Linked DNA regions of Stegostoma tigrinum. The protein of the gene in region 2 binds, or shares a complex with, the protein of the main gene of each other region. Links are inferred from orthologs where the notes say so. Each region holds a gene or a part of one and is shown on either strand. Other genes may lie near its edges.

Evidence for each region.
Region 1: xab2 (region 2) and ppie share a complex: the UniProt entries of both Homo sapiens proteins name them as parts of the XAB2 complex. The link is inferred for Stegostoma tigrinum from reciprocal best matches to the Homo sapiens genes XAB2 and PPIE.

Annotation. Positions count from the first base shown.
Region 1 is NC_081377.1:33,673,925-33,682,307, reverse strand, and holds the start of ppie (peptidyl-prolyl cis-trans isomerase E), read right to left. Parts: upstream 3,617-8,383; 5' UTR 3,604-3,616; coding exon 3,573-3,603; intron 710-3,572; coding exon 611-709; intron 275-610; coding exon 231-274; intron 1-230. UniProt on the Homo sapiens protein: Involved in pre-mRNA splicing as component of the spliceosome. Combines RNA-binding and PPIase activities.
Region 2 is NC_081388.1:13,419,998-13,428,877, forward strand, and holds the start of xab2 (pre-mRNA-splicing factor SYF1), read right to left. Parts: upstream 3,467-8,880; 5' UTR 3,388-3,466; coding exon 3,352-3,387; exon of another isoform or gene 3,278-3,351; intron 2,079-3,277; exon of another isoform or gene 1,820-2,078; intron 1,048-1,819; coding exon 899-1,047; intron 1-898. UniProt on the Homo sapiens protein: Involved in pre-mRNA splicing as component of the spliceosome. Involved in transcription-coupled repair (TCR), transcription and pre-mRNA splicing.

The sequences.
Region 1 (8,383 bases), on a different chromosome or scaffold from region 2:
TTGTAGCTATGCCCCCTTGTACAAGCTGATGTCATCATCCTCGAAAAAAGACTCTCACTGTCCACCTTCTCTAATCCTCTGTTCATCTCGTATGTCTCTATTAAATCCTCTCTTAGCCTCCTTCTCTCCAATGAGAACAGACCCAAGTCTCTCAGCCTTTCATCATTCTTGCTGTGAAAGAAAGTTTGGTTTTCTCTTCAGCTTTTGAAAAAGAAAAGAAATCATCTTACCTCAGCATTTTCAAATTCAATGAATGCAAAACCTCTGTGTTTTTCTGTTTGAATAGAAAGTTGTCAATAAAGAATTTAGATTTTTGGCTATTTCATAATCAACGTTTTGGAGTTACGTACATAGAAACATTAAGCTTCAATTGTTGTTACAGAGAAGTAGCTTTCACTGTATCTGGAACATCACACTGTATGGTTTGGTACCAACTCTTAAGTGTTAAATCTCAACCTTTCGTTTTTAAAGGAAGATATTTACAGACAATTTTCAGCATAAAAATTTTGAGAGAGATTTTTATGTCATAAAAACTCAATATTTTTTCTCAGTTTACAAGTATTCTGAATCTGGTTCAATACGTTGGAGGAATTTTAAGTGAAATATTTACCAGTTTCATAATCCAGTGGAATTTGAATGTCCATGATATCACCAAATGGAATGAAAGCTGCATGAAGCACTTTCTCATCTACTTCTTCAGCAAGACCACCTACAGGTGATAAACACAAAATATACATTAAATATAACAAGATTTTCTGTGAGAACACCACAACATTGACCACAAAATACCTTGTCACTGAGCCAAAAAATTTGGAACTCCCTCCCTAACGGATACTGTGGGTGTAGCTACACCTTATGGATAGCAGCAACTCAAGGTGTCAGCTCACCACAGCCTTCTGAAAGGCAATTAGGGATGGGTAACAAATGGCAGCTACACCAGATGTCATAACAGAATTAAAAACAATTCAAACAATGGAAAACCTACTTAATTCAATCACAAGTCTGACTGGCTGCATTCATTTGATGACAAGCATCTTGCAGTTTTGTAGGTGTTTTTCTTTAGCTAGAAATACCTTAACCACAGAACATAACAGGACCCACATCCTCTCTATCAAACTCATCTCACCCTCTCTATCAAACTCATCTCCCTTCCATCCTCACAGTCTTTGCATTTCACTTGGATTGATTTGCATTGAATGATTCTTTATTCTCCGCAACTTCAGTCACCTTAACCATCCTTCTCTGACTGCCTGTGACTTCTCTCAATCACACTGTCCACAAAAATTCCTTTTTATAGAAGTCAAGTTTATCCACCAGTATTTTACTATTAGTTTTAGAGTATAAAATACTTGACTTTAAGTAGGGCAAGACTAATAAAGTGAAACTATACACAGAGTATATAAAATATGTTATCCAGTATTAAGGCCTCCTTCCCTAATTGCAGCATATAGCACCCAAAAGATGGAGATACCTGGCTTTTTCCTGTGTTTCTTGGAAACACACAATTATGTATGTTCAAAAATTTTGCCCCAACACAAGGAACAGTATCAAATCTCCACTGGTGCTGAAATGAGTGATTGCCTGATACATCATCACATAAACAATAACACAAAAATGTCTTATGATGATATTTTTAAATGAATTTGAATGCTCAACATTCAGTCAACAAGAATTTAAAATGCTATATTTTTTAAAACAATGTGGTCAAAGGATAATTTCTCATGTTTTTAAAACTTTCAGTCACATTGTAAATTACAAAGAACTGAGATAACAAGGTGTAGAGCTGCATGAACACAACAGGCCAAGCAGCATCAGAGGAGCAGGAAAGCTGGTGTTTCAGGCCTTTTAAGCTTCAACATAGTATGTTGCCCATAGTATTCATCTCCTCCAAAAGAAATCTTGAAAAATAAACTGAACAACATACAATGCAAATGAAAAAAGGATTAAATTGATCCTTCCAAACAAAAACTGTGTTTAGAACAAAGCACATCTACTTGTCTATCAAAGAGCTCAGCAACTGATTAAGAAACCTTTTAAGAAATAAGCTACATATGGACTGCCCTTGATTTTTAAATATAAAGAACTTTGATTTATAAAATGATACTATAATAAATGTTAATTCTAATTTGCAGCAACTTTAAGAGATCAGATTTGAACAGACTTAGTGCAATCCACTGGCCATCTTTTTGGCCTCTATTGAATGGAGACTTCATTACTTCTTGTCCAGATGTAGTTGTAGAACGTCATACAACCAGAAGTTTTTGCCCGTCCCATTGCCAGAGTCATTTACGGCTGCTATCTAAGTTTCTGCTAGCTCTCCTTTGAGCAAAACAGTCAATCCCACTCCCCTGCAGCCTGGCGAGTTTATTTCCTTCAAGTTGATCCAATTTCCTTTCAAAACCATTTGCTAATTAATGGTAAAGCACCTATCTAACCTGCAATTGTGAATGATTATTAAGGAAAATCAGTCTCCAAATGTTCCTTCCATCATGGAGATACCTTAATTTCCCATTATGCTTCTTTTCACATGACACATCTGAGATTAAATATTCAACTTGAGGCACAAACCCGCATTCCACCATTCTACAGCAAAATATGTTTACACACTTCTAGGCTGAGCTATGGGACATCTAACTATTAAAGATCCAAATTTTTTTTTAAAAGCACAACACACTGTAGATTTATTTCCAAGTGTGTTTTTATAGATATGTATTACAATAAGAATGAAAAAGTCTACCCACAGATCAAACAAGGTCCAACTGTTGCCACAATGACTGAATCAGGAGTTCCTTCATGTGACTAGACAGTCTATTAAGTCAGTACATGACATTGCAGGTTCAACAGTAATCTGATCTTAAAATAAAGACCATCATCTAAAGGCAGCGCTTCCCAAAAGGGATCAGGCCAGAAGGGGGTTGCAAGTTCCAAGGCTATAATTGCTGCTGTGTAATCCCAAACGACTGTGCTCCAGATCTAACAAGCAACAATGCCCACAGGTATCTAACTTCTCCCAACAACTCTCAAAGGTCTCTTTGAAGAATGGTGACAGTTTACAAGCCTCGAAATTGAGTCACAGTGGAAGAGTTTTGAAATCACTGGCCCAAGGACTAGTCATCATAGCACCATGTCTCAGGTTACAAATAGTTATAAATGGATAACCATTATAACAACGACAGCAAATTATGTGTAATTACGGCAGAATGATGCTTCGTCTTTCATCAATATGTTAAAAGGACACAGTAATCAAAACAGCCCGTATTCTGTACAATTCTACATGATTGTTGAATGAATCATTCTCAGACTGAAAAATGATAAACTATAAAACGATAAACTGAAAAAAAAACATTTTTGGAGTATGGTAAGATTTTAAAAAAGCAAACGATAAGCAACCTACAGGCGATCTTGCTCGCAGAGATGAGTTTTTTTTTGTTAAATTGTGCAGGGTTTGGAATTTCCCCCGTTGCTGCACTAGAGACCCACCGCACTGAGTAAATTCGGACAAGTACCCCATGGAGAATGTTATTTGACTGTGGAAAGAATCTGAAGAGCGGCCGTGGCCCTTCCTCACTCACCCACATACAGCACCCGCTTGGTCGACGCCATCTTCCCTTGAACTTTCCCCTCTCAACTCCAACCTTTCACCCAGACACTTGCTCAATGTTTGGTTTATTTAATAAGTTCTTTTTCAAACAAAAAAATTCCGAACTTGAAAAGAAAATTGAAAAAAAAACCCAACAAAATATAAGCTAATTTCTAAATTAACTAGACAGGAAAATGAGAGCAATTTTGGAGTAATAGTTAAAGTGGGATAGAGTAGGTGCTGATAGGAGACGTATCTTTGCAGAGCCTGATGTTTAAACTGTCTCTAAGGGATCATATAGATAATCAAAACATGCCTGGGGCAGGTGCTTTTTTGGAAATAACATCTTTATATTCTGTAGTATTCCACAGTGCTCTCTGTACGATATATAGGAAAATTTGTGTTCAGACTTCACTCTATAAAGTCTCACAAAGAGCCTTAAAATGTTAGTTTATAAATGGGACTTGATCATTTTTCCACTAAATAAGCAGATAGGGGTTACATGTCATCAAGGAAGAGTAGACTGCACAACCCTGCTCTGCCATTCAATAACGTCAGAGCTGATTTGACTTGAACCTCAACCATATATTCCTACATATCCATCTGTCCACCTCTGTCTTAAAACATTTTAAAGATTCTACATCCACTGCTTTTTGAGAAAGGGAATTCCTGAGACTTATTCTGAGGAATTTATTTTCCTCATCTGTTTTGAATGGGCACCCCCTTATTTTAAAATTATGAGCCCTCGTTCTAGATTCTCCCACAAGGTTGTACTCTGGACACCAGAGTTAATCCATCCAAGATTTAAAAAAATTCTTCAGCACTTTATTCTGTGAAATCTTTAATGAACTTTCCTTCTTAATTGTAACAATTGTGCACTTTCAAACCTTACACTGAGATTAGTTACAACGGGTGACCACTGCAGTTTGCAGTTCCTCTTGATACCATTATGTGTGCCTTTTCAGGGTTGGTTAGCTCAGCTAGCTGGATGGCTAGCTTGCAATACAAACTGAGGCCAACAGTTTGTGTTCAATTCCTACAGTATCTAATGTGACAAGGTCCACTCTTCTCCGTCCTTCCCCTCAAATTAAACCACCACAGACATCTTTCTCTAATGAAAGAATGGGACTATGGTTACTTTACCTTATGTTGCCCAGCTGTAAGTATCTTTTTCCCTTGACATTATGAGCTGGTTTTACTGTAAAATATTAAATACCTTCTGTCAGTTCCTACTCAGTCACCTTCTTTCTTAACTGGTATTCCAAAAAACAGTTATTTAACTGTCACCGGGTCATAATTCTAGAATTCCCTTCTTAAGGACATTATGGGTCAACTAACAGCAGATGGACTGCAGCAATTCACCACCACCTTCTCCAGAGCAACGGGGCCAGGTAATAAATGTTGCCCGCTAATGATGCCCATGTCCCACATATGAAAAAAAACCTTCCACACTGAGAATCAGCTTCAGGCCTCTTTTCTGCAGTGTTCCATGACTGGAATGTTTCTCTTCTATATGAGCCAAACTTAATACAGGACTTAAGTGACAGTCTTGAATTTCTAATTTTATTTGGCAATAAAATACTGCACTATATTTTTCCTTCACTAAGTTGGCCATTACCTCATTTATTTTCAATTTCCTCAACCTTTAGCTATTTTCACACCTTCCAAAGGGATATCGTAAACGACACCAGTTGTATGCCTTTTGCCTACTTCCCTTAATTGCCACAATCAGTTTGTTACCATCTGCAAATGTAACCAAGTCAGCTATGATCTACTTGAAAAGCAAAACTGGCTGAAGGTGTTGAATGGCCTATTTTTCCCCATATTCCCAGTGTACGTTAGCTTCCACATCCAAGTTACTCAAAGAACTACCAACAGTGATTTGGAAGGCTGAACCAACTAGACAATGAGGGTCTCAGGTTCAATCACTAATCTTTGTTGGATTGATTTTATTAGTAACCACAACCAGCATCACAACCTCTCAGAGAAGGGAGAGGTACCCAGTGACATCATCTGTAAAAAAGCACATACGTGAAAACAGGCTTGGACAGGACTAGGCATTGACATAATGTTGAATAATTTATATACTGAACGCTCAATAGAGAACTTGGACGAAACATCCGGTGGCATCTACTGGCTTTGAGACAACATTCCAGCAAGAATATCTCCAAGGGGGAAAATACTAGTAAGAAAAATCAAGTTTATTCTTCTGGATCTCAAACCTGAAAGGTAGGCATTTGTTTAAATGGATTTGTGATGTCTTTATGATTTGATTGAAGTGTTCTCCTACCATTTCCCCAATGCTGGAAATTCTACTATTTACAGATCTGGCTGTATACAATTGTTCTCTAAATGAAGAAAAGAATCAGTTTCATAAACTTGAACCATTCCTTTTCAGATTTGTGCAGTAGGTCACAGTTTCAACCCATTAGGACTCAATGGTTCATATTTTCATAATTTCCCCTACAGTCAATTTTCATTTGTACATATGGCTTACAATCCTGTTAACTTTGCTATTTATGACACATAATTTAAAAAAAACCATTAGTTACAGTAACTAATTTGCATGGGACAAATGCCAGAGATCATGTGAAATGCACTTGTTATGCTCATGGATGATGAAACCAGGTTACATCTTTGTACTGGAATAGTGAGATGCAGTGTAACATCCAGAGAGAAGATAGATTTAACAATTGTTCCTCTTTTAAAATCAGTAAGCATTTAGTCAAACTTAAAACAATACATTTTCAAGACAAGCTTTTTTAAATAATTAATTTTAATAATTTTATCACCTTAGAATTTCTTGAGCAATTTGCTCTGACAACTTTGTCTTCTCTGTTTGTCACTAAAGGAAATTTGCTCCACAATGCAAAAAATTGCCAAAAGTTTGACTTTTTTTAAAACTAGTTGCAAACTAGAAAGTATAATTGTTGATTTGAATGTTATAGAAAATTGGTCTTTATGCTAGAACTAGCATATGTATATTTTCAGTGTTTTTTCCTTAACAATTATTCATACCGTAAAAGTTAAAATTCTAAAGTCAAAGGAATTGGGCTGATTTGGATGACTGGTGCCAAATCTGCCTTAAAATGATATTCTGGTTAATATCTGTGCAGTCAATAATTCAAGTTGCTGGCTTTCGCTGCTGTATTGGTGTTTGATCTGTGTCAAAGAGTTTCCAGATTTTCCCTATGACATCAGCCAGATGGGGCTTTGGAAACAAAAAAAATGTAGCAAATACATGTGTTATACCATGTTTGATCACAATCTTTTATTTCAAGAGAAGCAGAAATGATCATTTAAAAAAAACTGACATATTTTCATTACATTTGCTTGTCTTATACTTTCTCCTCCAAACTGAAATTAATCTTCTCTTCTGACTCCAGCAGTCTATGTTTTCTAAACAATCATCAGGAGATGCACATTGTTTGTAACATTTTTTCCCCATTCAGAAGATTCATTATATTTACATAGTATTTTGTTTAACCACTGTGACAAAGCAGACACTTGCCCATTATCAGTGGACAAGTCCCATCACTTAGTTCTGAACTTAAGCACCCCAATATCAGTTCACAGCCATGAAATATTTTTAACATTTTTTTAATAGAAAACTTCTTTTCAGCTTGGAGGAAACAGACCAAATTGCAAATGAGGGTGGAGAAATAGTTGACTTGTGTGACAGTGATAGATCTACTGATGACAATGACAGGGCCCTGGAGTTCTTATCTGGAATCCACTGCTGCTTCAATGGGAAATTACAAACATGTCAAGGTATTATTAGCATCTCATGACAGCCACAGTACTTTATCATTATATAAAATAATTCTTCTTCATCTCTGAAGTTCCATTCCCCCATTTAAATAGTCTACTATACAGCCAAAACCTAATAAATAAAACATACGCATCAATATCAAAATCCCTCCAGTGCAAATGACGACAACTGACACATTGTAGTGAAAGTTTTTTTATTGGTTTCTCCTTTCCCCAATCAGAAACACACTTTTCCAGATTTAGGCAAACTTGAGTTTTAAAAATTAAAACACACCTTAATGATAAAACTCAACTGCAAAGTAAAATCTAGCTCCATTCTCATACCTTTAACCTTTTATTTCTTGTTCTTTAAAGAGAAGGAAAAAAATAAATAAATCTATCCTGGCCACAGACGCCCATTTTCAAAACAAAACAAGTTTTAAATCAAAGTAGTGCCCTGCTTGATAATTTTATAGTTTGATTTATCAAAATATATTTCTTTTAAATTCTTAAGGTACATTTAAAACGTTTCAGGATCTGGTTATTTGAAATTTTGCAATGTTTTTGTTTTTTTTTCCTCAAAGCTAAGCACAATCCACGCATCCAGTCTGAATATATCTGAATCAAAACTTGTGGAATCCTTGGTTCTTGGCAATCTGCAAAAAAAAGTAAAATTTTAATATCTGCCTCCTCTCCAACTGGAACGTTCCAACAAATGAATCTGATACCGCCCTAACCACATGTATCACTGTTGCTATACAAAATACCCATGTCAGTTAGAAATAATTGTAAAAGAATCAGCTGCAAGTTGAAGGACTTTTACTTCAGTGTTTGGAGCGAAGAAGTCAAATAGTTGAAATGTTTGAAGCCACAACAGGTTGCAGTATAAGTTAATACATTTTTATTTGATACCGACTAATTATCACAAACTGCAATAGGTAACCAGCATTTTTGATGTACCAGAACCACCGAATTGCTGTGTGTCATACAACACACATATTACTGAAACTTGTAACTGCAGGTCAAACCATGTTAATCATTTTAAATTGATAA
Region 2 (8,880 bases):
CAACATAGAAAAGGAAGTTCCCACATTGTGCATGTGAGGGCTTGTAGCTGTCTAAAACTAGGGGTCATAAATATGAAACAATCACCTATCAATCCATTGACTAATACAGGAGAAACTCCAATACCAAAAAACTCGGCAGAATATGGAACTTGCTGCCACAGAGAAGAGCTGAGGTGAAAACAATCAACACCTTTAGGGAGAAGCTGGATAAAGGAATAGACATCACATTGATCAAGCTCTGTTGCGGAACGAGTTTTCTACACAGCAGCAGAAACACCACCATTGACCTGATAAACCGAATAGCCTGCTTCTGTGCTTTTACACTCCACGCAACTTGTTGTAATTTAAAATTGATATATTTAGTTTTCCTCAGATGCACATCATTAAAGTGCTTCACTAAGTGAGCTGACCGTACACCTCTGAAGCAAAAGCTCCAAGTGGGCGAAAGCTGTTAATTCCAGTTACATGTAAACCACTGCTATCAAGGATTATTAAAAACACCAGCAACTGACACATCACAAGGCAAAATTCTTTTGCATAAACTGTGTGATTGATGCAGACAAGATACAAAATTTGATCTATGCTTAATCTTTGATCTTTTGAACAAACCATTAGCTTCTGTTAGTGATAGTAGGAACTGCAGATGCTGGAGAATCTGAGATAACAAGGTGTAAAGCTGGATGAACACAGCAGGCCAAGCAGCATCTGGGGAACAGGAAGGCTGACATTTGTCTAGGCCCAAAACATCAGCCTTCCTGCTCCTCTGATGCTGCTTGGCCTGCTGTGTTCATCCAGCTTTACACCTTGTTATCTCAGCTTCTGTCAGGTGTTGATCTCAAAAGTCTCTAATGCCCCCATGTAATCACTAGACCTTGTTGCTTCCACTAAGAAACAATACCTGCCAGGAAGTTCTTTAAGCGCTCTCTCGTAAATCATGTTCACCACATGTATGGGTGCAGACTGCTTAAACTCTATGTAGCGGATCCAGCATTTAACAGAGTAAGGATTGCGAATGATCTCTTCTTCATATGGCAGATCATCATCTTCCTGTCAAAGAGATTCAAACAAGTGGACAGAATGAAGCCCAGGGGATGCACGCAAGTCACCAGCTATCAGACTCTCGGGGAAAATGTGGCACTGACAGCATGTAAAATGTCACCTTTGACAACACAAACAGCAACTTGATAAAGTAAAACTGATCTGTCACTATCAATTTATCTATTACAAAAAGTTCTTCGAAACTTCTTTGTGAACTTTCTAACGCACTTCTGAAGAAAGAAAATGTTTTTGTACTTAGCATTTAACTTGGAATTATACAATTAGTTCACGCAGCAATTTGTGTTCAGCTTGGTGTTACTTGTAACAGCCAAGCCCAAGCTGTAACCAAATGGCATATCAAGAATTTACAATCCTGACACTCCAAATGTATTTTGGGAACACGAACAGCAAGACTGAAGTATTTGACTTGAGCAACAAACAGCAATTTTGTAAACATTTGACAAAGGATAGTTGAAGACAATCTTTTGCTGGGGCTGCCCTGTTTATACAATGTTTACCAATGCAGTAAGGTACTTAACTGGTATCAAATCTCAGGTTTCTTTTCCACAACTGTCGTATCTGCTGACAATCATTTTTAAGTCGACAAGTTAGGTTTACAGAATTAAAGATTTGTAGGCCAATTTTCAGCATTCAGTGCAAATATAGTTTTTGAGAAGTATCTTCTTGAAGCTGAGTACTGCAATCTAAAGAACTGAAGTGTAAACTATGGAAAAGAATCATCTGTCAGTCGCAAAATGCTTCCTTCAAATGTATTACTTACTGAAGCTATTGTTGATTACACGTCATTTGAGTTCAAATCCCAGTCTAGGATTTCAGCACAATATTCAAGGCTGATGCTCCCAGCTGAGTCCCGAAGGAGGGCTGTGCTGTCAGTGCCACCACTGTTCACACAAGGTCAAAAGGTCACTGGTGGGTCAGCAGGAGTTGGTATTGCCATTACCTTTCTGAATGGTTGAGCAGACTTAAAGAGAGTCATACAGCATGGAAACAGACCCTTTGGTCCAACGCGTTCATGCCAACCAGGTGTCCTAAACTGAACTAGCCCCATTTGACTGCGTTTAAACCTTATACCTCTAATCCTTTCCTTTCAATGTACCTGTTCAAACGTCTTTTAAATGTTGTAATTGTACCCGCCTCTATCATTTCCTCTGACAGCTCGTTCCATACAGGTTGAGGATTTAAATGACCTATTCCTGCTTCTATTTCATATATTCATAAACTGAGGCTCTGTCAGCTCTAGCAGGTGAATGTGAAAGATCCCATGGTGCTATTTCTGAGCACTGGTATCTCTCCCCAGTGTCCTAGTCAGCTAACATGACATAATGATCTGCTCATAATTACACTGCTATCTGTGGGAGCTTGCTGTAGAACATATAGCTGCTGTATTTCATATCTGACACGAGTGAAGCACATCATTGGTCATGGAGTGCGGATGAGATGTTGGTAGGCTGGCTCAGTGGTTAGCACTGCTGCCTCACAGTGCCAGTGACATGGGATAACAAGGTGTAGAGCTGGATGAATACAGCAGGCCAAGCAGCAGCAGCATCGGTGCCGGAAAGCTGACGCTTCGGGCCTAGGCCCTTCCATGGGCTTGATTCCACCCCCAAGCAATTGTCTGTGTAGAGTTTTCACATTCTCCCTGTGTCTATGTGGGTTTCCTCCCACAGTCCAAAGACGTCCAGGTTAGGGTATACTGGCCATACTACATTGCCCATAGTGTTCAGGGTTGTGCAGGCTAAGTGGGTTAACCATGGAAAATGAGGCTGGGGAGGTGGTGATGAGTGAGTGGTATCTGGATGGGATGCTCTCCGGAAGGTCAGCGAGGGCTGAAAGGCCTGCTTCTACACTGTAGGGATTTTGAGGCTGAAAAAAGGCACTATATAAATTCAAATTCTTCCTTTCACATGCCGGCTCTCTCGAGGGCGAACAAATTACCTCCGATCAGCCAGTAGCAATATGACTGCCTGTCAGCTCCAACAACTACTGAGCAGCAACACAGAGACAGTGTAAAGAAGCTCACTTTCACTTGGGACTCTGAAATCAATGTGGTTGACAAAACTGGGGCAGCTGCTCTGCGACTTTACTTATTAAGTCAAAACATAGAAAAGAGAGAAAAAGTAGGACCATACGGTTCCTGAAGGGGAAGTGATAAAGAAGCCGTTAATGCCGTGGGAGACCAACAAAATAAATCGAGGCCGAGGCTTCAGCTGAGGCCTACCCTCAAAGACCAGCTCAGCGAACAAGGAATGTTGAATTCGGAGCTGTCATCTCGGAGTTATACGATTCACTTACAAAAATAACATCGTGTTTCTGTAAAAAAACGCTCATTTTGCCCCGCGGCCGCAGCCTACGCCGAGGCTTCGAAAAGGCGTCGAACCCAACCTAAGGCCCAGGGAGCAAACCCTATCGCCACTCTGATTGGTGGACATGCCGAACGTCATCAACATCCCGCCCATAGCGGCAGGTGGTTGGATAACATTGTCGATCGACAGGCATATAGACCAATAAGTTCACGATGCCTGCACGTTGGGCTGTTAATACCACCGGTTTCGGCAGTTGATTGGACACGGCAGAATCCGTTTCTGATTGGATCATTTCCGCGGGGCGACGACGCATATTCCGATTTCTATTGGACAAGACAAACTGATTGACACGGAAACACGGATAGTGATTGGACTTGTCAGTTGATACCGCCCCTATTGGGTCTGATGGTAAAAACTGAAAGGATTGGGGATGCTATAAATCTGGAACAAAAGCAGAGGTGGTTGGAAAAGCTCAGCAGGTCAATAATTTTAGGGCCTAAACTGTCCTATATCCCAGCTTCCCAACCCCACATACCAAGCCTTGTTACCACACACTTGTTCACCTGCACATCTGCCAATGTGGTATACTGCATCTGCTGTACCTGGTGTGGCCTCCTCTACATTGGGGAAACCAAGCAGAGGCTTGGAGACCGCTTTGCAGAACACCTCCGCTCAGTTCGCAACAATCCACTGCACCTCCCAGTCGCAAACCATTTCAATGCCTCCTCCCATTCCGCAGATGACATGTCCATCCTGCGCCTCCTGCAGTGCCAAAAAGATGCCACCCGAAAGCTGCAGGAACAGCAACTCATTTCCGCTTGGGAACCCTGCAGCCCAATGGTATCAATGTGGACTTCACAAGCTTCAAAATCTCACCCCCCCCCCCCCCCCACTGCATCCCAAAACCAGCCAAACTTGTCCCTGCCTCCCTAACCTGTTCTTCCTCTCACCCATCCCCTCCTCCCACCTCAAACCCCCACTCCCATCCCCTACCCACCAACCTCATGCCGCCTCTTTGACCTGTCCGTCCTCCCTGGATCAAACTATCCCCTCCCTGATTCCCCACCTACATTCATCTTTACTGGCTCCATCCCTGCCTCTTTGACCTGTCTATCTCCTCTCACCCTATCTTCTCTTTTATCCATCTTCTATCCGCCTCCCCCTCCCTCCCTATTTATTTCAGAATCCCCTTACCTTTCCCCATTTCTGAAGAAGAGGCTCGACACGAAGCATCAGTTTTCCTGCTCCTCTGATGCTGCTTGGCCTGCCGTGTTCATCCAGTTCTGTACCTTGTTATCTCAGATTCTCCAGCATCAGCAGTTCCTACTATCTCTTGTTACCACATAGCCTGCCATGTTATAACTTCCTGTTAGTAGTCAGTAACTATTCACCCTCCCAGCCAGATTGTAATCAACTCCTTTGTCTGTCCAACTGTCTTTCTCTCTCTTTGGGCTCAATCCTATTGTTTACTCCCCACCCCACTCTCTATTTTCTGCATATAAACTGACGTTTTCCCAGCCACCCTCAGTTCTGAGGAAGGGTCACTGGACCCTAAACGTTACTCTGTTTTTTCCTTCACAGATGCTACCAGACCTGCTGAGCTTTTCCAGCAACTGTGTTTTTGTTGGGTATGACGGTAAATAGGAGACTGTAACTGGTTTACACACAATGTTCGACAAATTGCATTAATTGTATTAGTCCTCTGGGTTAGAACAAGAACCTGACATGTGGCCATGTGGTACAGCAGTAGTGCCTTTTCCTTTCAGCCAGGAGACCTGCGTTCAACACCCACCTTGCCCTGGAGGTTTTAATAAGAGGTTTCACATCTGAATAGGTTGCTTATGGGGTAACAATCTAGAGCAAGTCTATGTGGTGCAGTGGTAAAATCCCTACCCCTGATACAGGAGGCCTAGATTCAAGCCCTTCCTGCTCCAGAGTGTGTAAAACATCACTGAGCTGGTTAATATAGAAAATGACCAGAACAAAGCAACAAATGTGAGATTCGTTGCTGACATATATTGAGATGTCTATGAAAACGGTGATGAGGTTTGGAATGCTTGCCTTCATTGGTCGGTGCATTGAATATATGACTTGGGATGTCATATTGCAGCTGCACAGGACATTGGTTAGGCCACTTTTGGAACACTGCATTCAATCTTGGTCTCCCTGCTGTAGGATGGATGTGAAACTTGAAAGAGAAGATTTTTTAAAATTTTAAAAACTGAAAGAACTGGAGGATGTTGCCAGGGTTGGAGGTTTTGAGCTTCAGGGAGAGTTGAATGGGCTGGGGCTATTTTCCTTGGAGTGTCAGAAACTGAGGGGTGACCTTATACAGAGTTTGATAAAATCATGAAGGGTATGGATAAAGTGAATAGCCGAGGACTTCTCCCCAGGGTAGAAAGTCCAAAACTAGACAGCTTAGGTTTAAGGTGAGAGGTGAAAGATTTAAAAGTACACCTTGCACTTTTAAATGAGCTCTTTTGGCAGCTCATTCCATACTGAATGAGTATGGAATGAGCTGCTGGAATTGGTAGCTCATTCCATACTCATTCAGTACGGAATGAGTTGCCAAAAGAGGTGATGGAGGCTGGTACAATTGCAACATTTAAAAGGCATTTGGATGGGGGTACGTGAATAGAAAGAGTTTAAAGGGATATGAGCTAAATGCTGGCAAATGGGACTAGATTAATTTAGGATTGCTGGTCGGCATGGGCGAGTTGGACCAAAGGGTCTGTTTCCATGCTGTACATCTCAATGACTCTAAAAGCCAAAGATGACTTTATTTACTTATTTATTATCAGCATCTAAGGGCATTGACCCTTTCTTGGGTTAGTGCCAGAGGCAAGGACGTGTTGGAGAAGGCACAGCAAAATTCATAAAGGGCGAGTGAACAGACGGAAGACATTAAACACACAGGTACCATTGACATAGGTTGAGGAAGGGATGAGGTTTTACAGGGAGAACACAGGGAGTTAGGCAGGAGGTTAAAAAGCAGGAGCTCAAGGGTAGTAATCACTGAATTACTCCTGGTGCCAAATGCTGGTGACAGTAGGAATAGGAAGATAGGGCAGATGATTGGGTGGCTGAGGAGCTGGTGCAGGAGGCAGAGATTCAGATTTTTGGATGATTGGGATCTCTTCTGGGGCAGAAGTGACCTTTTCAAGAGGGCTGGGCTGAACCTGAACTGGAGGGGACCGTTAACCTGAGAAAATGTGTCTCACAAACTTGATGGAGTTATTTGAAGAGGTCACGAAGAAGATAGATGAAGGCAGAGCGGTAGATGTTGTCTACATTGACTTTAGCGAGGTATTCGACATGGTTCTGTGTGGTAGGCTGCTTAGTAAGGTTAAGTCACATGGGATCCACAGAGCGTTAGCCAATTGGATACAAAAATTGACTTGATGGTAGGAGACAGAAAGTGGATGTAGAGGGTTGTTGTTCAGACTGGATGTTTGTGACCAGCAGTGCGTGCAAGATAGGTTCTCAGTCTACTGTTTGTTGTTTATATTTGTGATTTGGATGAAATTTTAAGAGGTATAGTTACTAAATTTGAAGATGACACTAAAGTTGGTGGTGTGGTCGATAGTGAAGAAGGTTACCTAAGAGTACAATGAGATCTTGATCAGATGGGCCAATTGGCCGAGAAGTAGCAGCTGGAGATTAATTTAGTTAAATCAAGGTGTTCTATTTTGGTAAGGCAAAGCAGAGTAGGATTTTATGTCCAACAGTTGATGATAGGGGCCTGTGGAATGTTGTTGAACAGAGGAACCTGGGGCGCAGGTTTGTAGTTCCTTGAGAGTCGCGTTGCAGTTACATGGGGTGGTGAAGAAGGCATTTGGCATGCTTGCCTTCATTGGTCAGTGCATTGAGTATAGGAGTTGGGAAGTCATATTGCAGCTGTCAGGACATTAGTGAGGCCACAAATGGAAATACTACATACAATTCTGCTATAGGAAGGATGTTGTTAAACTAGAAAGGGCGCAGAAAAAAATTTACAAGGATGTTGCAGGACTGAAGGGTCGATTTATAAGGAGAGGCTGGATAGGCTAGAACATTTTCCATGAAGCACTGGAGACTGAAGGGTGACCTTACAGAGGTTTCCAAAATCATGAGAGGCACGGATAGTGTGAATAGTCAAGGTCTTTTCCCCAGGGGAGGGGAGTCCAAAACTAGAGGGGCATAGGTTTAAAGTGAGAGGTGAAAGATTTAAAAAGGACCCGTGGGGCAACCTTTTCATACAGAGGGTTGGAATGATTGAAATGAGTTGTCAGAGGAAGTGGTAAGAGGTGGGTACAAATACCATATTTAAAAGACATTTAGATACATCCATGAATAGGAAAGGTTTAGAAGGATATGGACCAAATGCAGGAGAATGGGACGATAGTTAAGTTTGGGATATCTTGTCAGCACGGATGATTTGGACCGAAGGGTCTGTTTCCGTGCTGTATGACTCTGACTCACCATGTGATACTGTAACTGCCTTGGAATGGGATGGTCCACCATTCTAATTACATGCACTAATTACAATACTCTTGGGCTGACAGGAGCGTCGCCTCAATATTTGTCCATTGGGTTTGCTGTAAGATTTTGAGGTTTCTAATCTGATCTCGCCAGTGGATGCCATGGATAGAGTGAAGAATAATATTGATACTGAATGGTGTCTGGCACTGGTTTCAATGGCTCTCTGTTTTTCTAAAATATTGTAGGCATAGTATTGTAAAATGAGCCAAAAGCTGGGATATTATGCAAATTATTATTCGTATATTAAAGAATATTATAAAGCTCTATATCTTCTAATTCATCTAGCTCTGATCCAAATTTTCTCTATCTTTATTAGAATCCCTTCAGCGTGGAAACAGGCCCTTTGGCCCCACAAGCCCACAGTGACCATCCAAAGAACATTGTACCAGGGCCCAGCCCAGTACCCTTTCCCTGTAACCCTGCGTTTCCCATGCATATGACACCCCTAATCTAGGCTACCCTGCACATCTTTGGACTGTGGGAGGAAACCGGAGCACCCGGAGGAAACCCACGCAGACACAGGGAGAATGTGCAAACTCCACACAGACAGTCACCTGACGGTGGAATCAAACCTGGGCTACTGGTGTTGTGAGTCAGCAGTGCTAACCACTGAACCAAAATTTCACCATCAACTGTGGTGATTTTGAACCCATGTCCCCAGGGTATTAACTTGGTTCTGGATTACTACACCAATGCTCTTACCACTATGTTGCCAACATATGTTCCCAAAGTACGTTAGCTAAAGTACTGGTATTGGTGTATATGTTTTATTGAGTGATGTAAATGGTCTCAGGGACGAATATTTTTTGAAGATGCTTTTGTCCTTGCTGTCATGTAGAATGTGCAGTGACAGGCTACTCACTAAGTAGCAACCATACCCACTTGCATTTATGCTTTACAGAGATGGTAAAAACTGCAGATGCTGGAGATAACACAGTGTGGAGCTGGAGGAACACAGCAGGCCAGGCAGCATCACAGGAGCAGGAAGAAGGGTCCC